Linked DNA regions of Cricetulus griseus. The protein of the gene in region 1 purifies or fractionates together with the protein of each later gene. This does not show direct contact. Links are inferred from orthologs where the notes say so. Each region holds a gene or a part of one and is shown on either strand. Other genes may lie near its edges.

Region 1 (15,337 bases):
CGGTAGGGGAAATCACGCCCTCTCGGTTATCGTGCCCCGTAACACGTACTCAATATCTGATTGATCAAGAGTGGCTGGTGTCAAAAGTGGAAGGAATCCACTTTTTTTTTTTCCTGAGGAAATCGTAGTTTGTCCCGCTCATCTGTAGGTTTGCGGTGAACCTTGTAAGAGGGAGTTGTAGGATCATAAAACTGTTCCAGACAGGCTTGTGTGTATGCAGTTATGTAGGGGCTGCTGACTGAATCGCTGCCTGTGATTCATGTAGCCCCGCAGTTGGTGCTGCCCCCGCAGCCCCACACAAAGCCCATGTTCCAGCGCCGCGGCTCCTAGGTGTTCACTCCCGCCAAACTCTCAGATTGAGCAGTTTAACCTCTTCCCTCAAACCCGTTGCTCTGCCCTACTAACCCTCGGAGACCCATTCTCAGTTTCTACCCCAGAGAAGGGAAAGGAAAGGGCTAGAGGCTTCTGTGATGGGAACTGAGCCAACAGCCTGTACTGTGACTTAGATTTCATCTTTGTCTGCGCTCTACTGCTCCATGACATTCAGGGATAAGTCACATTTCCAGTTCACAGTTACCGAGTTTTTGCTTCCTTACATTTAGTCAATATTTTGGATGGTGGCGATCGCCTTTTTCTGAATCTTGTATTTTCTTCCAGCGATTGTTGGCCTTTCTCCTTTTTATTGCAGTTGAGCTTCTTGAGATAGTCCTTCTGTTTTATGTAGTGTACACTCTTGAAAAATCTGAACGTCAGACATCTGAAAGTTGAATATTAGAATTCAATTACATGTATTAAGGTGTCTTTATCCCCAGAAAGATGAGAAAATATTTAAATTTCTGATTATAGTTCCTGGAATTACCTGGAACTGGGCTGGGGATGTAACTCAGGTGGCAGAGGGGCTTGTCTGGCAACGGTGAGGCCCTGGTTTTGAAACCAGGTGTGGTGATACACTCCTGTCTTCCTAGCATTTGATAGGTAGAAGCAACAGTTACATAGTGAATTTGAAGCCAGCCTAGGATACATGAGAACTTGCCTCAGATGGAATTGTCCATGTGAAAGACCCCCGAAGAGGTACTTTCGTAGAGGGAGACCCACACCCAGGAATCAGCGAGGCCACGAACTGGATGCAAAAAACAAGAGGCTTTATTGGAGACGCGGGTACCCGGGGCGACTTAGCTTCTGTGTGGCTAAGCGCGCCGAGCCAAGGGAAAGGGGTCCTTATATAGGGAAAAAGGCGCAAGCTAGGAGCAGGGATTCTATTGGATAATTCTAATGAGGCATTATACAGAGCTATTCCCATTGGTCAATGTATATGAGGCGCTATACAGGGTTATTCAAATGAGGTGAAACATAGAGTCTTTCAAATGAGGCGAAATACAGAATCATTTCTATTGGATGGTTCAAATGAGACACAGAGCCATTCCAGATCAGCATATTCTCAAGGTCTGGTGTCTGGTGTCTGGTACAGCAGACTCAATCCCCCCCCCCTTCCTGATGGCTGACCTTGGGGGCGGAGACCTTGGGACGGAGTGTTTCTCTTCGGGCGGGGGCTCAGGGGTAGGGCTCCAGGCCAGCTCACTTGGTGTTCGTGCCGACCCACCTGGTGCTCGCCCTCGTGCCGGCCCACCCGGTGCTCGCTCCCGTGCCGGCCCACCCGGTGCTTGTTCTCGGGCCGGCCCACCTGGTGTTTGTTCTCGGGCCGGGCATGCGGCGGGTGGCGGGGGAAGGCCGCCGGGGGTGGGGATCGGGGAAGCCGCCAACAGGAGGAAGAGGAGACAAACTTGAGAAAGAAAGGGCTAAGGGACAGGGGTCTTTCACATGGTCTCTTTGTATGTTCATGTGTCCATGTACACATGTGTACCATGTGCACAGGTGTAATCTTATTTATGCATATATGTCAACATTCATGTGGAGGCCAGATGTTAAGTTCAGGTTGTTGGGTGACAAAACTTCTTCTGGGGAGATGCAACTCATGTCTTCTTACCCCAGATAGGGATCCCACAACAGCCAAAGCACAGATACCAACAAACTCCAGCTTGGTGAATTCACACGAGCAGAAATGACTCAAAGACAGCTGCATCACCAAAGCCCACCCCCAGCGTAGGTTGCAACTCACAGGACTGGGAACCTGGAACACACTACACAGCCTGTAGGCAGCTCATCAGGTTGGAGAGTATCCTTTGCAGGTGCCTCATGTGGTCCAAACTTTTTCTAGGTGGTTTGGCTGGTTTCTGTTTCTTTGCAACTTGGCTTCAGTTCTCTGAGAGGGACAATCACACTTTACTGCTTACTCTGGCAGGGAGGGGGCCTAGTGAATCTTGCCAGTTTCAGGGACTTCCTGAAGTATTTTGAGTTGTTTATCTTCCTGCTTAAGGAGCTTCCTGCAAGATGGCTCTCTGGACACAGATATCTGCCTGCCTCTGCCTTCCAAGTGCTAGGATTAAAGGTGTGTACCATTACCACCCAGCAACAATGGAATGTTTTATTTTGGGAAGATGCTGTTATGGAACACGTGTCTTCTGAAATTGCTCTCCACAATACTGTTTTGAGGCAGGGTTTCACACTGTACCTAGAGCTAATTAATTTGGCTGGACTGGCTGGCCAGCAAACACGAGGAATCCATTCGTTTCTACCTGGGTCAGTGCAGGGATTACTGATGAGTGACACCAAATCCCAGTGTTTTCACATGGATGCTAGGGGTGGCCTCTTGAGTATTGAACTCGTGTTCTCATGCTTTTGCAGCAAACACTGATGATGAAAATGATTTCACCATCTTCACAGCCCTTGCTTCTCAGTTCTTGAGGGCTGGTCTTGAACTCACTATGTAGCCAAGATTGGCTCTAGACTCCTGATCCTTCCTCCTCCATGTCTCAAGTACTGAAATTATAAGTGCTCTACCATGCCTGGATTTCTCTTCTTTCAGTTTTTTGAGACAAGGGTTCTCTGTGTAACAGTGCTGGCTGTCCTGGAACTCAACCTGTATACTAGACAGGCCTCAATCACAGAGATCTTCCTATCTCTGCCTCCTGAGTGCTGGGATTAAAGACATGTACCATCATGGTGATCTCTCCTCAGCCTCTTGAGTGTGAGAGTTATAGCTGTGCACCATCATGCCTGGCTGAACTGGTGCTTGCATACACATGGGGATTGGCTCCAGGGCCTCACACATGCCTGACAAGCACTTTACCTACTGAGCTGCGCTCCCAGTCTCTCATTTCAAATTGCAAAATGGTGTACACAAAGGGACTAGGACTGCACATGGTTCTGCTCATCTCTGAACCCAGTTCTTCAGAGGCTGAGGAAAGAGAATTTCAAGTCCAAGGCCAGCCTGAGGTACACAGCAAGACCCTGTAGCAAGAACTACAAAAAATAAGGTGCTGGGACTTGGATTTACACAGATGAAAATTTTCATTTTCAGCCTAAATGTATGTCTCTGTCCCCGGCTTCCTGAAGGAACCAAGGACTGTAGGTTTAAAGAGGACACAGTCACAGACAAGCTTTCTGCATCATGAGGTTTTGGGTATAGGCAGGAGATTGCTGTCCTGCCTCAGTTACACTCATACAGGCACAAATGTCCACCCACAAATAACCATCTTTCCCTCCCAGGCTGGTTGCTTGCAAATAATAGTAGAAATGCCATTCACTGTGTGTTGCCTTGAACTCATTGTTAGTCATAAAGCTAATGCCATTTCTGTATGAGAGCCAGGATGCTACATTTGCTGTCTTTACCTCATGCTCACTCTTCAGCCCACTATAAACTTCTACTCCTCTGAAGCTTCCCTGGCAAAAATCACCAGACACCTCCTAATTGCAAAAAAAAGGTGTTACTATTCAGTATTCATCATACTCTGTCTGCCTCTGGCCAATCCTTACTACCTCTGTCATTATGACACCAGTTTCCTCTGACCATCTCTTATCACTTATGAAAGTCATCCTTAACTCCTCCTTTCTCTTATACCATCTCTCCCCCAGTCCAATGAATCTCCAAATCCTGTTGAGTGTACACATCTCCTGATCCCACCATCTTTTTCATTTGTTTTTAAATTTTTTATTTATGTGTATGTGTCTATGTGAGTGTATGCCACCTGTGTGCAGTACCTATGGAAGCCAGAAGAGGGTGTCAGATCCCCTGGAGCTGGAATTCCAGGCAGCTGTGAACCAGTTGATGTGGGTGATGGGAGCCCAACTTGGGGTCTCTGGAAGAGCAGCAAGTACTCTTAAACACCCATCCTTGTCTCCAGCCTTTCTTTCCCATTCTATTAAAATATTTATGTAAAATTATGTGAATGTGTGCAGGTGGTGCAGGTACAGAGTCTAGAAGAGGATATCAGATCCCCTGGAGCTGGAGTTCCAGGCAGCTGCGAACCAGCTAATATGGATCCTGGGAACTGGATTCAGGTCCTCTGGAAGAGAACCAAGTGGGTTTTTGTTTGTTTGTTTGTTTTTTCGAGAAAGGGTTGCTCTGTGGCTTTGGAGGTTGTCCTGGAACTAGCTTTTATAGTCCAGGCTGGTCTCGAACTCACAGAAAGCTGCCTGCCTCTGCCTCCCCAGTGCTGGGTTTAAAGGCGTGCGCCACCACCACCCGGCTGCACCAAGTGCCCTTAACCACTAAGCCATCTGTCTAGCCTCTCCCTTTCCCATTCTTCTGGCCGCTGCTCTCTGTGTAAGGTTCATTGGCTACTTATTTGCCCTACTGTAGGAATCCAGGGCCAGGGCCTCTTACATTCGGCACAAGCAGGATTACTATTATTATTATTATTATTATTATTATTTTAACTTTTTAGTCGTAAGTTTTTTGTTGTTTTGTTTTGAGACAAGGTCTTGGTGTGGTTGAAACTGGTCTCAAACTGGCTATAACTAACGCTGGTCTGTAACTCCTGATTCTCCTGCACCTTCCAAGTGCTGGGATTACAGGAGTTAGACACCACACCCGGCTCCCACGGGTTTGTTTTTGATGGATCTCCTCCAGTTTCTTAACATAGTCGGTTGGCTACTAGGGTAACAAATATATTCCTCCATGCCACTCTGAGGTTTGTGTAATTTATGGCATTGTATTTTAATCATCTCTTATACAAGTCTGTGTACCTCGGCAGAGTGGGAACTCCCTGAGGGCAAGAACCCAGTCTTACCCACTAGAACACCAGCTTGGGTGCGGCAGCGGCACAGGTAAGGACGGGATAGGTTTTTTAGGACACTGAAAGATGAGGCTACTTTTCCACTTCATTCTTAGTGGCTCAAATGCAGCTGGTTTACCGAGCCCGGCCGGCATCCTTGCAGTAGATACCGGGACCCACTTCTTGAAGCTGCAGCAAACCAGGTGTTCTCATTTTATTTCAGTCGGATTCCACCGCGGATAGGCTTCCGCTCTGCTCCCTTGCAGCTGTGAACTAGGACAGACTTGCTGAATGCTCAGGAGGACCCTTGGGAGTCTTCTCTATCAAATGGACGTGTGCAATTTGAGCTACTTAAACTCCTGTGAAGAGAAGAAAGGTGCCCTTTCCTGTTAGGGCCTCTTTCCTAGAGTTCGGACGAGGCAGGGCAGGTAGCAGAGCAGGGGAAAACGTGAGAGCCACTTCTGGAGGGAAGGAGCAGAGCTCCAAGGAATGAAGAATAGCAGAGGACGACGCACAGGTGACGCTGGAGAGCAGCATTGCCAGCCAAGCTCGGGTTTCCCCGTGGCCCCGCCTTCTTCACGAAGCCCGACCCTCTCTAGGGCGGGACCTTCCCCTCCAGCCAATTCTGGGAGCCGAACCCTGGCGGTTTGTACTCTTTCTTTCCAATGAGAAAAAAGGGAAGCAGCTTGGCTCCAATGACCAATCCGAGGAGGCGGCGCCTGGTTGTCAGGCAGGTTTGTAAGAGTTAGGGCCAATTGGAGGCGCAGCCACCGCTCGGCCCGGGCGCAGCGCGCAGGCGGTGGCGAAGAGACGCCGAGCGGGCCGAGTGCGGCCGAGCAGAGCCGGAGCCGGAGCGGGGCCGCAGGAGCCGGGCCGGGTGTGGACCGGCCGAGATGCCCTATAAACTGAAGAAGGATAAGGTGAGCGTGGCCTTTGCCCTTGCGCCTCCGCCGCGGGGCCTGCGTGGAGCTCTGGGAGGGGCCCGAGGCAGGCCCGGGACAGCCTGAGACTGACCCTCCGGTCCGGCCCCCCGCAGCACTCCCGGAGCCAGCCCTTGGGCCGCATGTCTGGCAGCACCCCCAGCCCGTGCAGCAGCTGGGACAGCTCTCCTTCTTTGCCCCGGACAGATTCCCCCCACCTATCTCTTTTCCCTTCCTCTTTGCTCCTACCCCTGGCCCCCTCCAGATCTGCTCCACTCCCAGCTCACTCCCTTGCTTTTTCTCCCCGCCTTCCTCTGTCCCCGATCCCCCACGGGTTTGGGACAGCCCTCATCTAAGACTGCATCTTCCTCCAGTACTACCCCCACCCCCGCCCTGTGCAGCCCCTTCCCTCCTCTCCTCACTAGCCTATAAAACGGCCTCTTCACAGTTCTGCACAGTCCCTTCTCCCTCCACGACAAGCCCCTGACCTAGAACCGCTCTGCTTTTTCTCTCCTCCGCCCAAATCTGGCCTAGGCCCCTCCCTCGAGTCTTCCTTTACACACAAACTTGTAAGTCAGGACTGAGCCCTTCCTTCTGTTGATGGAACCCCAGAACGTCGGTGCTGGAAGGCAGCTTTTGAGCACATGCATTATAGTCCCTAGTGGTACAGATGAGGAGACTGAGGCTGAGTCAAGAGAAGGGACTTGTCCAAGGTCACACATCCTGCTGGAGGCCCAGCTGCAATATTAGGTCTCCCGACTTGGAGGGCTCTTCTGTGCAAGTGCCTAACTGGTATCATCTGGCTTCTATGGTCACCCTAAACCAACAGGCTCCCCCCCCCCCCTTATCCCTTAGGATAACCTTTGCATTTCCTTTTTTTTTTTTTTTTTTTTGCACCTGTGCTGGATTTCTCTCCTTCTTGAGTTATATTAAAGCAGGAATCTGCGGGTTCTGTTTAGTTTTCTTACTCTGCAGCCCAGCCACCCCTGGACATTCGTACTTTGTCATAATGCCCTTACACAAGCCATTTCTTTATTTGCATAGAGATCAAACCTAGGGTCTTGCAAATTGCTAAGCATGTGCAGTACCACTGAGCTACACTCCCAGCCCCACAGGCCCTTGGTTGCTGTTGCCTTCTTTCATTTTCTTCCGTCTGCATACTGCCTTTACCTATATCCTTCATCCCTACCCTTTGTTTCCTGCTGTTGCTGAGATCTGACTCAGGTGTGGTTCCTCTGAGGTACAGACTTATCCCAGGATGCTAGGGATAAGCCTCCCCCAGCTTTCCTTCTCTTGGGGCTGGTTCTGGCCTGGTAGTGTGGTCCACTCCCCTGAAGATCCCAGAGGTTGATTGCATTCATTGTCCCCCAGTTGAGTTGTGGTGCTACCTCCTCACCTTATCAATCAAACTCTTTATCCTGGGGCTGTCGTGGATTTGCCAGGTAGCTCTGATTATGGGTTGTCACCATAACTTCTCAGAGACTGAGATTTAGAGCATAGAGCTGGTAATGGTATCCTAGGTGCTGAACTTCTAAGGTGGTGAGCTGAGCAGAGTTGTGGGTCCTACCCAGTCCCGTCCTTGGGAGTGGGTTTGCCAAGATGGTTTGGGTCATTCATCCATAGAAACTGCACATTCAAGATAGCTAAGCTGGAAACTGATGGGTCAGATTCTTATCTGTCTGTAGTTTTTTGTCTGTGGATCAGATCCTGTCCCATCTGTAGAAAGCCTTTGCCTACTGGATGATTATAAGCCATGAGGGATTTGGTTGAGAAAGGGTGTTGGGAGGATTGGGATCCATGGAAGCAGGCATGGAACCCTTTATGAGATTAATCTCCTACACTGGCCTCCTTAAAGTTCTGAGGGGGAGAGAGAGATAACAATGTGACTCGGGTGTACCAGGATGAAGGCACAAAGACAGGTGGGTGGAGGCTCCTTATTGCTCATCCATCATCACCTGTCCCCATTCTCCTTTATCTCTGTGGTCCCAGTGCTCGCTATCCTTCACCGTTTCCTCTGTGACGTCGGCCTGAGCCTTCATTTACAGACTCTCTGTTCAGCCCTGGGTACAAATGAATTGTAGACAAGTCTTGTCTTCCTCCTTGAGGTAGTCACTAAACTGTTGAGGTTTGGCATCTCCTTGCACACAGTAGGTAGGTGCTGAGTCAGTCTGTGGAGATTTGCACTATTCTCTTCTGAGGTTGGATTTGGGTCTTTCTATTTTCCTACATGAAGTATCCTGCTCCCTCCTGCTAACTTATTCACGACAATAGACTTAACCAGCATTGGGAGTTTATGTGCCAGACTGGGCTAAGGGAAGTGGCTCCTATTGTTGTGAGGATAGTGAGGACCAGAGGCTAGTTACCTCCTCATTCTCGAATAACTGGTAAGAGTTGAGCTCAAACACGGCACTGGCTTTAAACCCCAGTGCCTCACATCATGTGACAGCTGGGCCGGGCCACAGTGTGTGTGCTTCACCTGTTCTTCAGCAGGCTTGTGGGCCCTGTTCCCCTACACCCACTCACACCCACACACCAAGGCAGCTGAAATCAGGCACATTGCCTGAGATGTTTCTCAGACGTCGTGCAGTGCCATAAGGTGGGTGGAGGGGACAAGAAAAGTAAGCAGCGTATGATGAAGTGTAGAGACCAGACTTGCGTGAAGACAGGTCAGCTTTGTTGGAGGGCTTGTGTCTGTTGTGTGCTGTCAGTCACTTTGCTGTGGTGTCATGGCTGCACCTCTTTTTTTTTTTTTTTTTTCCTCTACCACTTGCTGTGAGCAATTGACAAGAGCCAGTGTGGCCAGCCCTGTGAGTAGGCAGGGGGAGAGTGCTCAGCCCGAAGAAGCCCCTTCCCCTTGCACAGCACCAAGCCACTCCCCATCTGAGAATGGTTTTCCTCTCCACCCCCGGGAAGCCTCCCCCCTGTTCCAGCCCACACAGAACTCTCTTCTCCCTGAGATCCGTTTGCCCCCATAGTCACAATCATTTGATTTAACACTTCTTGCTGAGGGGCTTGGCTGGTGTTGAATTGCAGACTCTCAGAGCTGGAAGTGATTTCCAAGGTCCTCCAATCCAGCTCTCATCTAAGGCTTGAATCCTTTTGAGACACATCTCAGAGGAGGTCACCCAGCCTCTGCTCAGATGCTCAGGCCTGGGAGCTTTCAGCTTCACTGGGCAATCTGTTTCCTTACGACACTGTGAGAAAATCCACCCTTGTTGGCCTCAGTCTATCCTCTTTCAGTGTCAGTGTCAGCCCATTTCTCTTGTTCCTCTGGGTCCATGAGGATAGATTGTGTCTTTAGTACACATGGCAGCCCTCCCTCTGCCGGTTAAGCTTCATCTTGCTCCCCCACCCTTCTCCCTTCTATTGTTAACTATCCCGGTTCCTGCAGCTGTTGCACTTTAGGCTGAGCCTTTGAATACACTGCTAGAATGGGCTGCATTTCTCTTTACAAGTAAGGATTTCTTGTTGCTCCTTCACAGGCTCATGCTCATGACCAAACTAGACCCACTAGCTTGGTTCTGTGGGGGCCAAGACTCCACGTAGGTCTGTTAAGTGGGTGGAAGTTCCCAAGGCCTGCAGTGGACACCACAGCATTGATTTGTGTTGAGCTTGCAGTCAGAGCTGCATCCTCAAGTCTTTCACATTCTCCCCATCCTGTCCCTGTGTGGTTGCTTTTGTTTTGGCCCAGAGCATGGGAAGAGATGGCTGGACAGGGCTCTGAGCCAGTTGCCAGGTTCCCAAGGGAACCTTTAGATTGATGCTCACAGTTTGTTAACAATTCAGGACTTCACCTCCATCTCTCGGCCACTGTTTGTTGCCCGAGGCGCTCTTGGGCAGAACCCTTCTAACTGTTAGCATCCTGTTAAATACCTACAGCACCCTCTCTTTTGGCTGCTGCTCATGACATCTAAACAGAAGCCTCTGGGTCTTTCTGGATGGCCCTGAGGGGAGAGAGGTGGTTTCTGCGTGGAAGACTTTGGCACCTCTGATCAGGCTGCTCAGATGCTATTCCAGTAAACTGTCTCACCTTAGTTCTTCCTGACTGAGGCTTCCTAACCCTAACCCATTCACTAGCCTGGCGAGGAGACAGATGAAGACTGCTGTCATGCTTAATCATTACATTGAGGTTGGCTTCCTAACCAGAATCTAAAGTCCTTAGAGGGGCTCAGTCTCCTTTGTGTGTCCCACGGTCAATATAGTAGGATTTTTTTTAAATTTATTTTTGGTTTTTTTAAGACAGGGTTTCTCTGTGTAGCTCTAGCTGCCCAGGAACTTGCTCTGTAGACCAGGCTGACCTTGAACTCAGATATCTACCTGCTCCTGCCTCCTGAGTTCTGGGAAGAAAGGCTTACACTACCATGCCCAGCTGATACAGTAGGTTTTAATTGAATCAGCTGGATAGTTCGTAGTTAAAACAAAGAAGGGGGGGTGGTCAGAGATACAGCTCAGTGGTAGAGTGTTTGGTAGCATAGATAAGGCCCTTGGTTTGATCCCCACTACTAAAAAAAATAAAAAATAAAAAGATTTTAGAGATTCAGGCAAGGCCTCTCCTTTCTCCTGGTCTTTACTAACCCTAATTCCATCTTCTCCCTGCAGGAACCTCCCAAGCTTGCCAAAGGCACAGCCAAGCCCAGCAGCTCGAGCAAAGATGGTGGAGGGGAGAACGCAGATGAGGTAAAAGATACACACATGGTCCTGGTTCCAGTACAGGTGCTAGCTGCAGCTCCTTGATGGCTGGGGGCAAGAGTCTGAGGGAGACAGTTACACAGGCAAAGGCTTCTACAGCCTAGATGGGAGAGTAAATCTAAACTACTTTTGGACAGGAATTGGCTGGTATGGAACAAATAGGTACTCTAATTCTTTCAAGTTCCTTAGATTCTCATGGAAGTTGTTTTCTGCCTGCACTTTTTAGTGTTGGTAACTCCCTTCTCAGTGAATGGGGGTATGGCCAGTAGTGGTCCCATGCTTAGTATGCTTAAGGCCTTGGGTTTAATTTCCAGCATGTTCAAGTGTATGTTGTAAGGATGTCTTTCTTGGGGTAAAAACCATGGAAAGAAGTGAGGTCCATTTAGGCATGTCTGTAAGTTCATCATTTGGGAAGTTGATGATCACAAGTTTGGAGCTAGACTGTATGACATAGCAAGACCCTGACTCAAAAAGGGGTTGGGGGTGCTGGGAGATTTGTGGTCCTGGAGAAAAGGGGCAAAGTCCACAAATGCTTCATGGGATGACAAGTTACTTTGGTATGGATCTGGGTGGGGCAGGGGCTGGGGATACTTGGTGTCCCTGAGTTGTGCAGGGCTGGGTCCACTGCTGTTGGTCTCAGTGTGACCAAAGGACAGTTATGAACAGAGGTCAGCACAGCTCAGCAATCTAGGGCTATAAAGCAATAAACAGGCAAACAAGATAGCCAGAGAGTAGAGGGGCTTGGGGAAATTCAGGGATGCCCTTGAACATCTGGGGACAGTCAGTGGTGTGCTTTGTTTGCTGAACAGTCTTGTGAATGTGTGGGAGCTGCTGTCATTCTCTCTGCCTTTTCCTTCCTGCTCTTTGCTGCTCTAAACTGTTAGGAAGCAGAAGTCTTAGTTACTGGGTGGTCTTGGGCCTTCCCTGAGAAAGGAGATTGACAAGTGTTTTGGTTAACTATTGATTTAGATTTTCCAGGCTACTTGTTGTTCCTGTCCCTTCTAAAGAGAAACTGGAAAATAGTTGAGTTATTGACCAGTATTAAAAACGCCAAGAGAGACTCAGAGTCAGGACTTAAAGGGAGAGGAAGAACACTTAGAGGCCCTCCTCACTAACATTCTTGTAGTTATTAGGCACCCTGGTTATTATCTGCTTAGAGAAGCCTGTCTTGACCACTCACCTCCATCCCCAGGGCATGGCCAGGTCCCCTCCCTGTGAGTTGCTGTTTTGTCCCTCAGTCCCTTGGCTGCACTTCACAACTGTAGTTAAACAGTTCCTGGTGAGCTCACTGTGTATTGGTATGGGAGCTTCTGGAGGATCTTACTTGCCTGGCCCAGTGTGGGCACCCACATTTGAATGTTGTAGTGAGTGAAGAGTGGACTAGTGAATGAGTGAGAACTCACTCACTGAATGGGGAATGAAGTCAGGAGTGTACTAAGGTCTGCTGCTGTGGTTTCTCCAGGTCAGGGACATGGTCTTAGTATCTCTAGAAACGGAGGGTGTCACATTCACCCTGGGCTCTATTTTATGAAAAGCTTCCCCGGGCTTATCTATATGAGGTAGCGACAGGAATTTTTCTTCATGACTTTTCAGAAGGTGCTCTTGTATGGATGGCAGACAGATGCCAAGAAAATTGGGGACCAGGTTGGGAGGCCATGGTCTTTTTTTTCTTTTTATGTGTTTTTTTTAATTTTATTTTTATGTGTATGGATGTTTTGCCTACATGTATGTCTGTGCACCATGGTCATGCCTAGTATCCGTGGAGGCCAGAAGAGGGGCATTAGGTCCCCCAACAGGAGTTGCAGGTGGTTGTGAGCAGCTGTGTGGGTGCCGTGCATCAAGCCTGGGTCCACTGAACAGCTGCCAGTGCCCTACACTGCTGAATCGCCATCTCTCCGGCCCTGAGACCATGGTTTTAATGCTGTTCACCACATCTCTCCTGCACACCTTTTTCTAGTATAGAATTTTGAGCTTCTCTGGCCAACTCTTAACTATGTTACGCACTTGCCAGAAAGTATTTTTCAAATAATCCTAATAATTGTAGCAGCTAACATTTACTTTATTGAGAAGTTATTTTGTATTGGTTTATCAAAGCAGCCAAACAGATTACCATATATAGGTGGCCTTGAACAGCTGAAATTAATTTTCCTACAGTTATGGAGGCTAGAAGTCTGAAGTCAGGGTAGCATAAAAGACATGGCCTAGCTGGGCGGTGATGGCACAGGCCTTTAGTCCCAGCACTCGGGAGGCAGAGGTAGGCAGATCTCTGTGAGTTGGAGGCCAGCCTGGTCTACAAGAGCTAGTTCCAGGACAGCCTCCAAAGCCACAGAGAAACCCTGTCTTGAAAAACAAAAAACAAACAAACAAAAAAGACATGACCTGGGATCTCTTTGTTGTTGTTGTTGTTATTTTAAATTTCTGTGTGTGGCTATGTGCACATGTATATAGGTACCTGCAGAGTCCAGATGGAAGTGTTGTGTCCCTGTAGTATCCCTGTGGCTGGAGTGAGCTGCTGTGAGCTGCTGTTGTGGGTGCCGGGAACTGAACTCTGGTTCCTCTTCAAGAGCCTCTGTGACATCTTTCCAGCCTCTGAGGTTCCTTTATTTAGAATTTAAAAATTTGTGACAGGTTGGTTGTTCTCCCTTTAATCCGAGCAATTGAAAAGGCAGGGGCAGGGGCTGGAGAGATGGCTCAGAGGTTAAGAGCACTGACTGCTCTTCCAGAGGTCCTGAGTTCAATTCCCAGCAACCACATGGTGGCTCCCAACCACCCGTTACGATATCTGGTGCCCTCTTCTAGTGTGCAGATATACCTGGAAGCAGAATGTTGAATACATAGTAAATAAATAAAATATTTAAAAAAAAAAAAAGAAAAAGAAAAGGCAGGGGCAGATCTCTGTGAGTTCAAGACCAGCCTGGTTTACATTTTTGAGACCAGGTCTCAAATTTTGACTCACTACATTTATTTGTTTGTTTTTATTTAGTGTATGTGTGAGTGTGCCAAGCTCTACCAGTGGAAGTCAGAGGATGGTTCTCTATCCACCATGTAGACTCAGGGATTGAACTGAGGTCATCAGGCACAGTGGCAAGTGCCCTTTACCCTCTGAACCATCTCATTGGTGTCTTTTATTTAGATTTAAAATGTTTTCAGTTTACTTTTAATTTTTGTATATATATGTGTATGTGGTGTCTGCAAGTGTGTGTATATGTGTGTTCATATGTGTGGAGGTGCCTGAGTTTGCACATGTGTGTAGAAGTCTGAGTCTGACATCAGATGTCCTTCATTTGCTCCTCATCTTTATTTTGATGTCTTTTTCAATCTCTGTGGCCTTTATATATTGAGTCAGACTAGCCAGCTTGCCCTAGGGCAGTCGTTCAGTGGTTTTCAACCTGTGGGTCTCTACCCCTCAAATGACCCTTTCACAGGGATCTCATACCACATATCCAGCATGTCAGATATTTACATTAGGATTCTTTTTTTTTTTGTTTTGTTTGTTTTTTTTTTTGGTTTTCGAGACAGGGTTTCTCTGTGTAGCTTTGGAGCCTATCCTGGCACTCGCTCTGGAGACCAGGCTGGCCTCGAACTCACAGAGATCTGCTGCCCGACTTACATTAGGATTCTTAACAGTAACAAAATCACAGTTACGAAGTAGCAATGAAATAATTTTATAGTTGGAGGTCACCAGAACATGAGGAGCTGTGCTAAAGGGTCGCAGCATTAGGAAGGTTGAGAACCACCGGTCTAGGGCTTCTGTCTGTGCTTCTGGTTTCTGGGGATTGCAGGTGTGCCGCCATGCCACCTGGCTTTTATGTGTGTCCTGGGGATCCCAAGCCATTCACCACAATTACATAGCAAGCACATTACTGTGCGAGCCATCACCCCAGTCCTGTCTAAGGTTCTAGGGAAAGGTTTGTTGTGTGCCTCCCTGGTGGCCTTTGACAGTCCTTGGCCCTCCTTGTCTTGTAGATCACCTCAGCTCCTCCCCTCCCCTCCCCTCCCACAGCGCTCTCCCTGTTCGTCTTCATCTCTGAATCTCCCTCTAAGAGGGCCACAAATCATTAGGGATATCCTATCCCACCTAGTAATGCTCATTTTCACTTGATTACGTATATCTGTAAAGACCCCGCTCCCAGGAAAGTCACATTCAAAGATTTAGGGTGGACACAGATTTGGGTGGGACACTGCTCAACCCGAATATGTTGTGCCAGACACTAATACTTTGCATGCATATCTAACTGTCACTGCATTCCCCTAGGATCACCCCTATTTTACAGATGAACTGGAGGCTCAGAGTGAACGGCATTACTCTGTGAACAAATGGCAGAGCTGGGATTCATAGGCTAAATGAAGCACTGTCTCAGAGAATCTAAAAGAGGGTCCTAGGGTAGAAAGGGGCTTTGAGAGGCCAGGTGAGACTCTCTGTGTCCTTAAAGAGCATTTAAGGCTCTTTTCCGTCTGACTTGGAAAAGATGGATTCTTGAGCACCTGCTGGCTTGTTCTGGATGCAGGGATACAGGGGTGCAGAGAGGAAGACACAGCCCTGTCTCCCCAGCCTCAGCTCCACGGCATGGTTGTCAGACCTTTTTGGTTTTGTAGTCTTCTCCTTTTCTCTTT
Region 2 (15,450 bases), on another chromosome or scaffold:
GAGAGCACTGACTGCTCTTCCAGAGGTCCTGAGTTCAATTCCCAGCAACCACATGATGGCTCACAACCATCTGTAATGAGATCTGGTGCCCTCTTCTGGAGTGCAGATATACATGGAAGCAGAATGTTGTATACATAAATAAATAAAATGTATTGATTTTAGTGTGATAAACCAACCTGGTTGTGATTTATGATCTTAATATGTTCTATAAGTTTATTGGCAAGTATTTTGTTGAGAGTTTTTATTGAAAAAAAATTCATACAAAATATTCTGACCATGCTTTTTTCCGTCCCCGCCCTCCCAGATCCTCTCTGTTCATGAGGGAAATTGGTCAGTAGTTTTTGTTGTTCTTTATCTGGTTTTGGTTAATAAGGTAATACTTCCTTCATAGAACCAATTTGGCAGTCCACCTCTCCTTTCTATTGTATAGGATAGTTTGAGAAGTGGTAGTGGTAAAAGTTTGGGAGCAGCAGACTCCTGATGGCATGTGAACATGCCACCTGGAGAGGTCAGAGGGCTCCAGCTCCTCTTGCACCCACGGCACCCCTACTCATGCCAACTCCAACTAAAGAAGTGAGAGGACTTGGAACTCACGGCTCCCAGCACTTGTAACATCTCTCATAACCCTACCCACTCTTAACTAGTGAAGTTAGAAGACTTAAGACCCCCACACTTAATACTTCCACTGCCCAGCACATACCCAGGCAGGTCAAACTACAAGAGCAAAATCTCTTGACCCTGGCTCAAACTTCTGCCTATTCAACAAATGGTGCTGGCAAAACTGGGTTTCTACCAGAAGTAAATGAAATTAGATTCATATCTTTTGCTTTGTACAGAAATCAATTCAAAATGGGTCAAAGACCTAAATTTGAAGCACAAAACATTAAAACATAGGGAACATTCTTCAAGATGTTGGGGTAGGCAAGAACTCTGAACAGAAAACCAGTAGCACAGGAACTAGCCCCGAGTATGAACAGATGAGACGATATGGGAATTAGAATGTTGCTGCAAAGTGAGGAGCCTCCCAGTTGAGCACACAACACACTGGATGGAAGAAAAATGTGTACAGCTTTACTTCAGACAAGGATATAACATACAGGACTCAGAACTGTAGAAATTAAATACTGAGGAAATAAAGCTGCCAAATGAATTAGTGAATTGAATAGACAGTTTTCAAAAGTAGAAACACAAACAGCCAATAACTATTTTTAAGAAGTGTTCATTGTCCTTAGCCAGCAGAGAAATACAAATTAAAACTTGGAAACACCACCTCCATTCATAAATTCTACCACCAATAAATCTGGCAATAGAGGTTGGAAAGATGGTATAGGCACCGAGTGTACTCTTCTTGCAGAGTATCATGAGTTCAATTCCCATGTCAGGCAGATCATAGTTACCTGTAGTCCAGGTCCAGCAGATCAGCACATTCTGGCCCCTCAGCATCTGTACTTATATACACATACCCGCCCACAGATACATAGATCACATGTATCACAAGGCAGAGGCAAGTGGGTCTTTGGAGAGTTCAAGGCCAGCCTGGTCTACAGAGCTAGATCCAGGACAGCCAGTGCTACACAGAAAACTCTTGTCTTGAAAATTAAAAAAAAAAAAAAAGATAGAGCTACTGGCTGGCTGCTTTGCTTATCTGATCTTCAGGCAAGCTTATTAAGTCATAAACAATATATCATCACATCTGGGCTTTTACCTTTCTCTGTATCTATATTTTCCCTTATTCTGTGGTTGGCTGGCCCCTGGAGTCGTCCTCTCCATTTTTCGTTTCATCTCTCCTCCTAGAATTCTCCTATTTATTCTGTCTGCCTGGCAGCCGTGCCTATCCTTTCTCCTGCCTTGCTATTTGCCATTCAGCTCTTTATTAGATCAGGTGTTTCAGACAGGCAAAGTAACACAGCTTCACGGAGTTAAACACATGCAACAAAACAATGCAATACATCTTTGCATCATTAAACAAATGTTCCACAGCATAAACGAATGTTAATATTCTACAAGAAGTCAAGATACTTTGAGCATAATGTTTTTTTGCAAGCTCTTTACAATAAAGTTTTAATAAGAAAATAATACAGCATGTGAAATACTAGAAACATTTCAAAGCAATTTATAATTCTAAGAAAGTGAAAAAACATTGTGTTATAATTTATTGGCTATTTGCACTCATTTTGATTAATGTCCTATCCATATCATTTGCCCATTTATTTGGGCTTTTTTTTTAGTTCATTATTTATTCTAGTTATCAATCCCTTGTCAGATATGTCAGTGGGCTGTGTGAGGTGTGGGAAACCGAACACAGTGCTCCTGCCACTAGGCTAACACCATACCACATCCCATGCTTGTACACCAGTTTGTGAATCTTCCCTCATCTGTGAGATGGAGGATAATATTTACTTCATGGGGTTATTGAAGAATAACATGTAGCATGTAGAAAGTGCTCTAAAAAGCTCTTTGCTTGCTAGATGTAATAATGTGCAGCGTGGTCCAAACACTCCTTGAGGCAAGAGGGGCACTTCAGCAGCCTGGACAGCATAGAAGGGCATCTGTGAGGTGAAAAGAGACTGAAAAGAGCCGCATGAAGATTAGCATCTGAAAGAGGCCAGTTGGCAAAGACTGGAAGCCCTTTCCCATCTAACCCACTGAGCAAGTGTGAGAAAAGCCTGCCATATTGGCACAAAAGTGGGAACAGAGGGTGCTATGCTAATGGCTTGTAAGAGCTCATCAACCCTGGGGCCCAGTGCCTTTGGAGCTTTCCCCACAACTTGGGAATGTTTGCCCTTTCTTAACAGACTATCTTCTTCCCTGAGCATCTGGACTTTATTTTTCTCAGAAGCCCCCTCTACTCCTACTACCTTGCAGCTAGCTCCAATGCAGATCGTGCCTCCTTTTTTTTTTTTTTTTTTTAACGTGCCTACTTTCTTGAGCATGAGGCTTCTTCCTCTTCTCCATCTCCCTCCTGCTCAAAATTGCCAAGATCTGCTTTTCATGCGCCCAGTTGTTTTCTCTCAAATTCTGATAAACAGGTTCCCAAGATTCCTTCGGGTTTCAAAATCTTATTAAGACAAAGAACCCATTAAAAGGAGCCCTGAATTCCCTAGTAGTACCAACACTTAACAAGTGGGACTTAACCGTAAAACACAAAGCTGAGGCAGGAGGATCATAAGTTCTAATACAGCTTGTGGCACACAGAACTGTCTCAGGGTGGGAAGTGAGGGGGAACAGCATTACTTTCTCCTCTACAGCACTAAGTAAAACATTTCAGAAGAAATATCTTCACAGAAATATCTCCTACTCACCTCCAACGTCCACTCACATCAATTCCAAACACTTGTTTTCAAGGACCGCCTTCCCTCACAGCCTCCACCTGTGTTTTCCCATTTCTCCTCAGGCTACATTTTCTGATCTCCAGAGATTCAGGAACTAATTCTCACTTCACTCTGAGCTTTTCAGGCTTAGGAAAAGCCTTCATCCTTTAAACCTGTGTGGTCTAAGCTCCTAAGAGACTGCAATCATTGTTAACAGAGACCTCTCTCTCTCTCTCCCTCCCTCTCTCTCTCTCTCTCTCTCTCTCTCTCTCTCTCTCTCTCTCTCTCTCTCTCTCTCTCTCCCTTCCTCCCTTCCTCCCTCCCTCTCTCTCTCTCTCCATTTCTTCAGGCAACTTCAAAGGGTTTTTCCTGGAGAGAAAGTTTAGGATTCAGTTCAGATGACATCCTTTTGATGAATTCTGCAATCATTCTCTAAAATAAGGAAATTAATATATTGCTGAACTACTGAACAGACACTTTTTACATTTCAGCTTTGAGCCAGGTGTAGTAGGAGGTGGAGACAGGAGCATTAGTTCAAGGTCAGGTCATCCCCAATCACAGAGCAAATAGCTAGCCTGGAATACAAGAAACCTTGTCTAAAAAAAAAAAAAAAAGAAAGAAAAAGAAAAAAAAAAAAAGTCAGAGTGCTTGCGTACAAGCCTTGCAACCTGAGTGTGATGCCCAGACCCCACCTAAAGCTGGAGAGAACCCACTCCACAAAGTTTTTCTCTGACTTGCAGACTTGTGCCCTGGCACAAAGGACCCCCTCATGATATTAAATATTCTATTTACACAACTGACAAAGATTGTGTTTATTTCAAGTGATGACAAATCTGCCACTTGAGGTAGTTTGGGGGTTACCCCATGCTGAGAAAGTGGCAAAACCTACTCAGGAACACGCCTTGTGATAAAGGGTGCTGTTTGCCACTTGAGTTCAGCAGAGGCTGAACACAGTTCAGACAGAGGAAGTATGGTCATTTAGCACAGTTTTACAAGGTCTCAGTGGCTAGCCCCTGCTATATAAAGAAATCACTAATTACAACCAAAGTATCAGTTACAGCAAAGAATGTCAAGCTGGAATGGCCACAGATAACTTTAGAAATCACTTTATGGGTTGGAGAGATTAGCTAGCTAAGGGGTTAAGCCTAGCCATATATATATATATATATATATATATATATATAATATATATATATATATATATATCTTTAAATGCCAGCACTAAGGAAGCAGAGGCAGGAGCATCTCTGAGACCGAGGCCAGCCTGGTCAACAGAGCGAGTTCCAGGACAGCCACAGCTATACACAGAAACTCTATATGGAAACATACAAAAAAACCAAAAAAGTTTAAAAGGTTTACTCTTGCAGAGGCTCCAAGATCCACTTCGGATCTCCCTAAGCACCCGCACACACGCGACATAGACATAAATAAATCCTTTTATAAAACATTATTTTATCTCCGGGCGGTGGTGGTGCACACCTTTAGGTAGAGGCAGGTGAATCCCTGTGAGTTCGAGGCCAGCCTGGTCTTCAGAGTTAGTTCCAGGACAGGCTCCAAAGTGATACAGAGAAACCCTGTCTCGAAAAACAAACAAGAAAGGGTCCGAGATTTGGGGCCTCGCAACTAATTAGTGCTAAGAGTAGAAACTAACTCGATACAGATCTAGTGCCTGTTCTAGGACTGTGAAATGTTGAGAGGAAAGCCCAAGCTTCCCAGCTCCCCGGCGCAGACGGGGGTCCAAGGCTAGAACCGGATTCCCAGAGGGAGGAATGGGAAGGACGCTGGCCCGGGGCCCCCGAGGACCGTTTCTCCGCCGAGCCGCGCGAGGGCGCTGCTCGTCTCCTCGTGAGCCGAGCCCGGCGGCCCCGCCCACTCGCCTTTTCCCGGCGGAAATGCCGGGGCGATGACGGAAACCCGGAGGGAGGGAAGAGAAAGAGCGAGAGAACCCGGGCCAGAGCGCGGAGAGGCCTGCGGGCGGCGGCGGCGGAGGCAGCGGGCGGACGCGGTCGGGCCGGAGCGTCCCCCGAGCCGCGCCGCGCTGCGCGCTCCGAGCCGTGTGCCCTTGGCGCCCCGGGGCGCGTGGCCGGGCCGGGCGGGGCGGGGCGGGAGCTCCCGGAGGCCGCGGCCCGCAGCTGCCCGCTGGGCTTGGGCGGGGCGCGGGCTGCGCGCTCCGCGGCTCGGTGGTCCCGCCGGGGGCCGGCGGCGGCGGCGGGGGAGGCGGCGGGGACGCGCGGCTCGCCGCCATGGACGACAAGGCGTTCACCAAGGAGCTGGACCAGTGGGTGGAGCAGCTGAACGAGTGTAAGCAGCTGAACGAGAACCAAGTGCGGACGCTGTGCGAGAAGGTAGGCGGCCCGCCGCGGAGGCGCGCGCGGGGGAAACGGGCCCTGGCCCCGCCTGGAGTGCGGAGTGGGGTGCGGGGACCTCTCCCCCCCCCCGAAGATCAGGCAGCTGCAGCCTCCTAAAGACACGGACGACTCTCCTCAAAGTCGTTAACACTGAGACTTGGTTAGCGTGGGATTGTTCGCGGGTGACGGGGGCGGGGAGGGGGGCTCCGAAAACCACGGAGTGCATGAAGCTTTTGTTTGCACACTAGTGGGCGTGATGGCAGGCGGCCCTTCAGCCGGGCTCACTTCGGTGGAGGCTGGTGGTGGCTGTGGTCTTGGTGGTGAGTGGCTCTTGGGACGGATGGTTTCTTTTTCAGGAAGAAGGCAGCAGGTGTTGAGTTTGGAATCCGTGTTTACTGGCAAAGAGAACTGGGATGTGTGCTATTTATAAGCTCCAACATTACAGAAAGTTACTTCCATTTTTACCGCGAGTAGCCCACACACACACACACACACACATCCTTAGACCTTGCAGGTGATGGATTGGGGGGGAAAAGACCTTCTTGATCGTGTTTCCGTAGCTTTCAGAAATCTGTATCCACTGATTTATTAATTGCTGGAATTTTTAAAGTCTACTTTTTCATTCCTCTTTTATATTTGGACTAAATCTCGTCCCTGTATTTTCCTGTTAAAGAGTCCCACAAAAGAGTAAAGGAGTTAATTATTTCACGCGTGAATCTATACATTTTTCTTAGAAGTCGGGATACTACTAAAGAATTTTGTCCATCTTATTTATAAACACTCTTTACTAGGGGTGGGGGGGCAATAACCCATGGAGTGTTTTTCAAGAGTTCGGTGTTGTCCAAGTCCTTTTTGTATTCAATACTTAGCCCAGGAGAGTGTCTTCAAGTAGAACTGTGGAGAAAATGGTGTTCCCCCCACCATGAAAGTGTTTGCTTCTAGCCTCAGCTAACTTTTATTTTTCTTGTGTGATAACCTATAGTTTCATAATTCTCAAAATTAACCCTTTAGATGATCTCTCTCAAGCTAGTGTCACCGAGCTGTCCAGTTTGGAAATTGGCTGAGTCAGTCAGCCTTATTGTAATTGTGACATCCAAAACTGAAGGTACAGAGCAAGAGGTGGCTGAATCAGTTCAGGGTTCCCCTTTGACTTTGTAGTAATTTTAGGATCCGTCCTTGCAGAAGGTTGTTCCACTGCTGTGAAGTGTCACGTTTGAGTCTTAAACTCTTAGGAAGCTTTCTGAATCTGCTTTTTTAAAAAAATCGTTTTTCTTTTAACCTTGGCTTCTAAAAATCTGGATTACCAGTTCGTAGCACCATGTAGTGAATTTAAGCTGACATCTTAGGCTGTGAGTGAGTTTTCTTTGCAGATGAACACTAATTCACAGAGTATCACCCATTCCTTCCTCCTCTAATGCATAGGATGGAGTTGCTTGTAGGAGAGGCTTCTTAATGCCCCTTTTCACCATCTGTGGTGTGGGGGGAGATGGGTGTGTTTTCTTTAGTCCCTAGTCCCTTTTTGTAATAGGTTTAAAGGTTTATTAATTTTTAATTATGTGTCTGCGTGCTTGGTGCTCATGTCTGAGGAATTCAGAGGCGTCAGATCTCCTGGAACTGGCTGGTGGTGAGCCACGTGATGGTGGGATCCTGGGAACTAACCGAACTCTGGTCCTCTGTAAGAGAGTACAGGTCTTACCTGCTGAGCCATCCTGTCTCAGTCAGCCTGTTGGAATTCAGTACACCCGATGCCTATCTAAGGCAGGGATGATACTTAGCTTCTTTCAGGTGGAAGATCTCAAGAGGCTCCTCATGCAGCCCCACAGTAAGTGAGCACTCAGGGAACACTAGCGAATGAGAAAGGCTATGTGCTTTTTCAGCTCGTTTCAGTTGTCACTCCACTTGGGAAAGAAATGTAAAATGGATGTGTTGAGACTTCTGGTGATTGGACTTGAAAGGAGATTTTGTGGCCCTAACCAAAACTTCGTGTTTCCTGTTACCTTCAGCACACAAACTACTGGGGTTTATAGCAATGTTATAAAATAAACAACTTTACTTCCCAGTTGGTCTTGTGGATACTCTACCTTTCCAGAGCAAGAATGTCTTGTAGGAAGGATGTAGGAGAAAGTCAGACGTGCACATCACCTACCTTTAATTCCTTTTGGCTAGTCTTTTAGTTTTTTCATGTGTGTATGTATATAATGTGTTTGTAGTGCACATGGCAGGCGGATGAGGGGTCAGAGGCCTACTGTGAGGAGAAGGTCCTCTCCTTCCACCTTATGTGAGCCCTGGGGATCGAACTGAAGTCTTCAGGTTTGGGCCTCGAGTACCTTTACCTTCTGAGCCATTTCTCGGGCTAAAAGAGTTATTAACTTTTTATGAAGAGCAGGTCTCAGGATGTAGTCCTAGCTGCCCTGGAACATTTATGTAGACCAGGCTGACCTCAAACTCTGCCTGCCTCTGCCTTCTGGGTGCTGGGATTAAAGGGGAGCACCACCACGCTTAGCCCACCAAATTTTTTTAATGATATGCTTTTTTTTATATTTTGTTTGCTGTAGCACTCTGTAGAAAGAAAGGTTTTTCCCCTAGAAATTAAATTCCTATCATAATTGAGCTTGTCTGAAATGGAAGTAACTGAAGTGGTCCTGTTAAGGCCCTGTATGGGGTAATGGCGGTCAAGCTCTTCCCACTGTCGGAGGGTAAATAGCTTCCATAGGGCCAGCACAGAAAGGTGTCTGCCTTCTGAAGTGAATGGCTGTCGCTCATCTAAATTAGCAGCCCAGAGTCTGAAGTTAATTGTGAGTCTGACTCTTCTGTGGGCAGAAATACAGCTTCTGGAACTCCTTCCTGCGATGACAGTGTGCACAGCAGCTTTTAAAGATGGTGTGCTGGAGGAGCCAGGCTGGCCCAGCCAGAACGTTCTGTGACTACAACTATATTTAACTCTCATCTTGGGAAGAGTAAAAAAAATTTTTTTGACCTGTTAAGCTTTATTTTATAACTGAAGAATGTTTGTACGATAATCCAGGGGCAAGAGGGGGGAGCTGCTTCCTGTTTTGGCAGGTACCTGTTTTAATCTTTAATCAGAAAACCTGAGGCTAGTATAGAAGTAATGTGTAAATTCTAGGGCTAGAGAGATAGCTCCCAGTTAAAGGCTAGGCTCACAACCAAAAGTGTAAGAAATACATGTGAACTCTATGTTGGATTGATGGTGTGTTTCATAGCTTGGCTTCAAAGCCTCCTAATCGGACACTGAAAATTTAAGTTCATACTGTGAAAGAGCACACACCTCTAAAGTGGAAGAGCAGATCATTGTAGAAAGAGCATGTCAGTTGAGATACTCCATTACTCTCTGTGCTAGATACAACTTTAAACAAAAATAAATGTGCTTTTAACGGGGTGTGGTGGCACACACCTTTAGTTCCAGCACTGTAGAGGTAGAGGCAAATGGATTTCTGTGAGAAGAGGCCAGCTTGGTCTCTGTAATGAGTTCCAAGACAGCCAGGCTACATGGAACAGACCTTATCTCCCAAAGCAAAAAAACAAGGTGGTTGTAAGTGCTAAAAACCCTAAGTGGCTATATAGCAAGTTTCAGGACAGCCAAGGCTTCGTAGTGAAAGCTTGCCTCAAGAAACAAAAACAAAAAAGACAAACAAAAAGGCATAACTGCTATGTTCATTTTACTTCATTTTTTACTGGGGTCAGGGTCTTACTACATAGCTCTGGCTAGCCTGAAACTCACCAGGATTGACTCAGACTCTGGGGGCTCCACCTGCTTCTGCCTCCCTGAGCACTAGGATGATAGGTGTGAGACACTGTGGTGGTAAACATTTTAGAGTTTTATGTGAACAGGGTTAATGCCGGCCTTGGTGTCCATTGATAAAGTCTGAAATACAGGGATGTAGAACCTGTTTCTGGCTATACCAAAGAATGGCATGGCTACAGTAGGATGAGCTTATATGCTGACTGAGCAGATGAGTTTTCCAGCCCATCTAAGCCACTCCCTGCTTAGACTGACAGGTGAAGAAATTAAACAACATGAGACTAACTAGCATAAACTAGTGACTAGAAAGTGGACTTTGGGGGGCTGGAGAGATGGCTCAGCGGTTAAGAGCACTGCCTGCTCTTCCAAAGTTCCTGAGTTCAATTCCCAGCAATCACATGGCGGCTCACAACAGTCTGAAATGAGATTTGGTGCCGAACACTGTACACATAATAAATAAATCTTTAAAAAAGTGGACTTTGTAAAATCAGTGATGTGTAAAATATGACTAGGTAGATAAAGATATTAACATTATAAAGTTTATTTTCATTGAATAGTTTTATATGCATCGTATAACTTTTGTTCAAATTTTCCCTTAGGTTTTTTTTTTTTTTTTTTCCTTGCAGTTTGTTTTGCGTAGTATTGCTGTGGGTTGGTTATGTAGTGCCAGGGACAAAACAGACTAGGTAGCTCATTACGAAGCCAGTTTGATGGGCTTGGTAAATGAAGCCAAATGCCTGAATCACAAGTATTAGAATCACAAGAAATTCGAATCCATGTTAAGGAGGGGTTTTGAATTGACTTTCTTTTACTTCCTTAAGTAAATAATGAAATACAAACCTAGTCTAGGTTATTGAAAATAACTTAGCTAAGGGCTGGAAAGATGGCTCAGCAGTTGAGAGCAATTGTAGAGGACAAGGGTTTATTCCCAAAACCCCCGTGTCAGCTCACAACTGTCTGTAACTCTGGTCCCAGGAGATCCATTGCCCTCTTTGGGGCACCAGGCACACATGTGGTACACAGACAATGCAAGCAAAACAATGTAAACATGAAATGATAAATCTAAAAAAAAAAAAATTAACTTGTGAAATTCTTTTTTTTTTTTTTTTTTTTTTGGTATTACTATTGGTGATCAAATGTTACCTTTTCCTGAACATTACTTTTCAAGTCTATTGTTGGTCATACTAACCTTAGAAAGGAGGTCTGTATAGTATAGATTGTTACCTTTCTAAGAAGAGAGAGCTCAGGGTTGGACTTGGTTTGTATCTTTTGTCTTCTGTAATAATCTAGCATCCTTGTTTTTTCTAAAAAATTTATTTGGAAGTAGGGGCACAATATATATATATATATATAATATATAATATATATATATATTTATATATATGCATGTTGTAGCTATGAGAAGTCAGGACAACTTCCAGGAGTCACCTCACATCACCATGGGGTCCCTGGGATCAACTCAGGTTGCCTAGTGGCAAGGACCTCTGCCCACATCTTTAAAATCTTTAATATGATTGACTTTGTGACTATATAAACATGCAGATGGTGCAGGCCTGTAGCCCTAGTTCTTGAGTGTCGAAGGCCAGCCTAAACTAATGAGAACCCTGTCTCAGAAAAGCCAAAATGCATCAATTATTAAAATCAGGGTTTGTTTTTTGTTTTAATGAAAGGATTTTTTAGAGGACAGAGGTAAGATAAAACGTAGGCTTGGTTTTTGAACATCACTGTCCTAAAATTTACTTACTTGTGCTAGAGGGCACAAGTCCCAGAATTACATTTCTCTGACTCCAACTTCAAGAGTTTAGAAAAATTGAGGGCTGGAGAGGTAGCTCGTGGGTTAAGAGCTTGTATTGCCCCTGCAGAGGGCCCAGGTTTGGTTCCCAGCAACCACATGGTGGCTAGGAGCCGCTGTAACTTCAGTTCCAAAGTAAGGCTCCAACTCCTTCTTGGGCCTCCCAGGCACCTACATTCACATGCACATACCCACACATAGACAAAAATAAAAGCTTTTTTTAAGTAACAATAACTTAAGACACTCCACATTTGATACTCTCTGTAACATTCAGTAAGGTACAGGAAGGACTCTTAAGAACTCCCTAGAAGTTGTTAAAGTTACAATTATAATTTTTTACTATAATTGGAAAATAATACAAATTAGGACCAATCAAGGTAGAAGAGAGATGTAGGGCAGAGTGGATGTTGATGATGGATATATTTGCGTGAAGCACTTCAGTGCTGTGGGCTGTGTGGTGAGCATGGCCATACTTGGAAAACACAATTGTGGTTTGTGAACTTGGTAACAGTTGTGCATGGACCATTCACAGGCTTCAAATGAAATGACATCATTTGTCTTTAATTATGATTTAAAAAGAAGAAGAAGAAGAAGCAAAGAAACAGTAGTTGTTCAAATGATTTATAGACTAGCAGTAAAAAATTGTTTTTTAATTTGCTCACAAAATACTGATGGAGCTGGGAGTTGGGTCAGTGAGCAAAGTACTTGTCATGAGGGTCTGAGTTTAGACTCTAATACCTATGTAAAAGCCAGACATGGGGGTGCTGAAGATAGAATCCTAGGAGTTTGCCTGGCCAGCCCATCTAGCCTGATATGTGGGCTCCAGGTTCAGTGAGAAACCTTGTCTGAAAAACTGAGAACAATAGAGGACGCCTGGTGTCAATCTCTGGCCTCCACACTCACCTGTGTTCACACAAGAATACTGCAGTACTGTGTTTACACACACACACACACACATACACTGTGTGTGTGTGTGCTCACGTGCATGTGCACAAATATGTATATAGTGTGTATGCATTTGAATGTGTGTCACTAAGTGGGAGTCAGTGCTCTCTTACCATATGAGTCTTAGGAGTAGAACTCAGGTCATCAAATTGACGGCAAGCACTTTTTCTTATCTGTTACCCACTGGTCCTGGTAACTGACATTCAAACCATGTTGTTGAAGGCCTAATTGGTAACCATGGATATGGCAATACATGTATTAGAATTGTGACAGATGAATGGGACATGTGGTTCACACCTTTAGTCCCAGAACTCGGGAGGCAGAGGTAGGCAGATTTCTTGTTTGAGGCCAGCCTGGTCTACAGAGCAGAGTTCCTGGACACAGAAACCCTGTCTCAAACAAAACAAAAAAGAATTATGCCAAATGAGAAAGAACTGCTTCTATTTGAGAAAGATAATTGAATAGAATTGAGATTTGCTAGTTTTCTGACCTTTCCCGTTGCAGCCGTGTTTCACATTGAGTTTCAGAAGTTTTTCCTCAATTTTTAAATATTGAAATGTAATCTTCATTCTTTAAAAATTACTTCTTCCGCCGGGTGGTGGTGGTGCATGCCGTTAACCCCAGCACTAGGGAGGCAGAGGCAGGCGGATCTCTGTGAGTTCGAGACCAGTCTGGTCTACAAGAGCTAGTTCCAGGACAGGCTCCAAAGCCACAGAGAAACCCTGTCTCCAAAAACAAAACAAAACAAACAAAAAAAGTTCTTCCAAATGTACAATTCAGTAGTTCGAGGTTTATCTTTATAGCATGTATCAGTATGTCATTCCTTTTAATGGCAGGATAAAAATCCATTGTGTGGGTATAGGAGGGTGGTTGCTTATGTAGTTACTACTTTTTGAAATTTGTTTTGTAATTTTAAATGTTACATTTTTAGCCACACATGGTAGTACACACCTGTACCCCTGCATCCAGAAGGCTGAAATAGGATTGTAAGTTTAAGGTCAATATGGGGCACATGATGAAACCATGTCTCAACAGAAACAGAAAAGGTAGTACTTTCAGATTTTTTTTTAGATTTATTTATTTATTATATATATAGTGTTCTGTCTGAATGTATCCCTGCCAGAAGGCCAGAAGATGGCACCAGATCTCATTACAGATGGTTGTGAGCCATCATGTGGTTGCTGGGAATTGAACTCAGGACCTCTGGAAGAGCAGCCAGTGCTCTTAACCTCTGAGCCATCTCTCCAGCCCCAGATTTCTTTTTTTTAATGTAGTTCCTAACTTGCTTTTAAAAATGTCAACCATGGGCAGAGACTATTCTTCTACTAGAAGACCTAGGTTCAAGTCTCAACACCTACCAGGCAGCTCAACTATCTATAGCTCCAGTTCCAGGGGATCCTATGCCCTCCTTGTATCCTCAAGCACCAGGCACACACAGACATACATGCAGCAAAACAAATCTGCACATTACAGTCTGGTAGCTTTAAACTCCTCCCTTTTTTATAAATCAAGCTTGGTAGGTATGTGAGAAAGACAACATGCTTTTTGCTTTTTCTCTAACCTTTGTTAATTTACCTTGTTTGTTTGTGGATTGTTTTGTTTCTGAGTTAAGATCTCACAAGGCCTAAAACTCACTATGCAAGCTAGTCTGGTCTTGAGCTCATTCTCCTGCCAGTCTCATGAGTGCTGGGAATGTGGGCATGTACAACCGTGCCTTGCTATGAACATATCTGTATGTAATAGTTTAAGCCTTGGTTTCTTTCTATGTGGAATGGAAGGTTGTTTGTGCTGTTTTGTTTACATTAAAGCAGGACCAGACGCTTAACATCCTAAAACAGTTTTCATTTATCTAGTCTGTGTACATATCCATAACTTGCTTCTTAAGAGTATATGATTTTATTCTTAGTATACCTTCAAAGCTTAATGTTGCTTGGCATATAGATACTTGATGTTGTTAAACTCAAAGGGTTAATTTCCCTGGGTTTTTTGGGGGGCAGGTAGGACAGGGCTTAATTGTTGGCGTGTTTACCCAGCATGCACTTCATGTTGGAGGAGAAGGATCAGAAGTTTAAAGTTACTCTCAGTCATACAGTGAGTTGGAAGCTAGCCTGTCTTTTAATAAAACCAAATCCCAAAAAGAAGAAACAATAAGTCATTTATGGGAAAGCCTGCCAACAGTGAAGAAAGAGAGGCGCCATGCTTTCATTAACTACAAAGTTTTGGGTTGGGCTGAACTGGTCTTGCTATGTAGCCCAGGATGGTCAGAACTCCAGGTTCTGCTTCTTCGGCCTCCAGAGTGGGGTATAGCAGCCATGTGCTGCCATGCTTGGCAGCCTTGTAGAATTTTTTAAATTGATTTTTTTTATGTATATTAGTGTTGTGCCTATTTGTATGTCTGGGTACTACATGTGTGTCTGGTTCCTATCGAGGTCAGCAAAGGCCATTGGCTTCCCCTAGAACTGGAGTAAGTGGTTGTGAACCACCATGTAGGTGCTGGGAACTGAGCCATCTCTTTAGCCCAGCTGTAGACTGTCAGAACATCATGTAAGACTGTTTCAGAAATTGCCTGTTCTGTTTTACTTTCTGTGAATTTGCCTGGAGAGTAAGAGATGAGCACTGTGGAAGCTCATTCATGTGTAGAGGGGAAGACTGTGTGTGACCAAAGGCAAGCATTGTAGCCTTCGGGGAATACATTATGGCAGTAGGGGAGTGACAGACTTGAGTACACCCTTAGACCCAAGAATATTTCTTAAATGGATGTAAAAGGCTATAATTCTCCAGTGTTTTTACTAGATTGAATAACTGCATCAGTCTAGGACTGCCAGCCTGGCTTGTGTGTGAACACATACACAAGTAATTTCAGTAATATGGTAGTGAGAATATGTTTGTCACATAACTAAGAATCAGCCCTCAGAGAAATAGTTGGGGAAGAAGAAACAACAAAAACAAACAAAAAAAGCTGTTTATTCATGGGAAAGATAGGACTGGATGCTTTAGAGACATAGGCCCCTAGATACCTGGTCTAAAAGGGTATAAAGGTCACACAGTTACATTAGCACTGTGAAGAGAGCCTTTGCTTCTTTTCGTTCTAACTAATCATAGGGCAGTAGAGGAAAAGTACCGGCTCCACTGTCCACAGCTCTCGGGGAGTCTAAGGCCTGATCTCAGCAGCTTGAGTTGGAAGATTTGAATGACGAGAATTTTGCAGAAATAAGAGGTTAGCTCTCCAGGCAGAATCAGCTGAAAACATTTAGTGCACTCACTGTACATAGGTCCCCACTGTTGGGATAGAAT

Evidence for each region.
Region 2: the proteins of Ppp2r5d (region 1) and Ppp2cb purify together in Homo sapiens (affinity purification with mass spectrometry; 8 studies listed by BioGRID and IntAct, counting the BioPlex papers as one, with this or other methods). This does not show direct contact. The link is inferred for Cricetulus griseus from reciprocal best matches to the Homo sapiens genes PPP2R5D and PPP2CB.

The regions. Positions count from the first base shown.
Region 1 is NW_023276806.1:256,115,253-256,130,589, reverse strand, and holds the start of Ppp2r5d (serine/threonine-protein phosphatase 2A 56 kDa regulatory subunit delta isoform), read left to right. Parts: upstream 1-5,871; 5' UTR 5,872-6,007; coding exon 6,008-6,034; intron 6,035-10,633; coding exon 10,634-10,711; intron 10,712-15,337. UniProt on the Homo sapiens protein: The B regulatory subunit might modulate substrate selectivity and catalytic activity, and might also direct the localization of the catalytic enzyme to a particular subcellular compartment.
Region 2 is NW_023276807.1:51,181,797-51,197,246, reverse strand, and holds the start of Ppp2cb (serine/threonine-protein phosphatase 2A catalytic subunit beta isoform), read left to right. Parts: upstream 1-5,495; 5' UTR 5,496-5,554; coding exon 5,555-5,656; intron 5,657-15,450.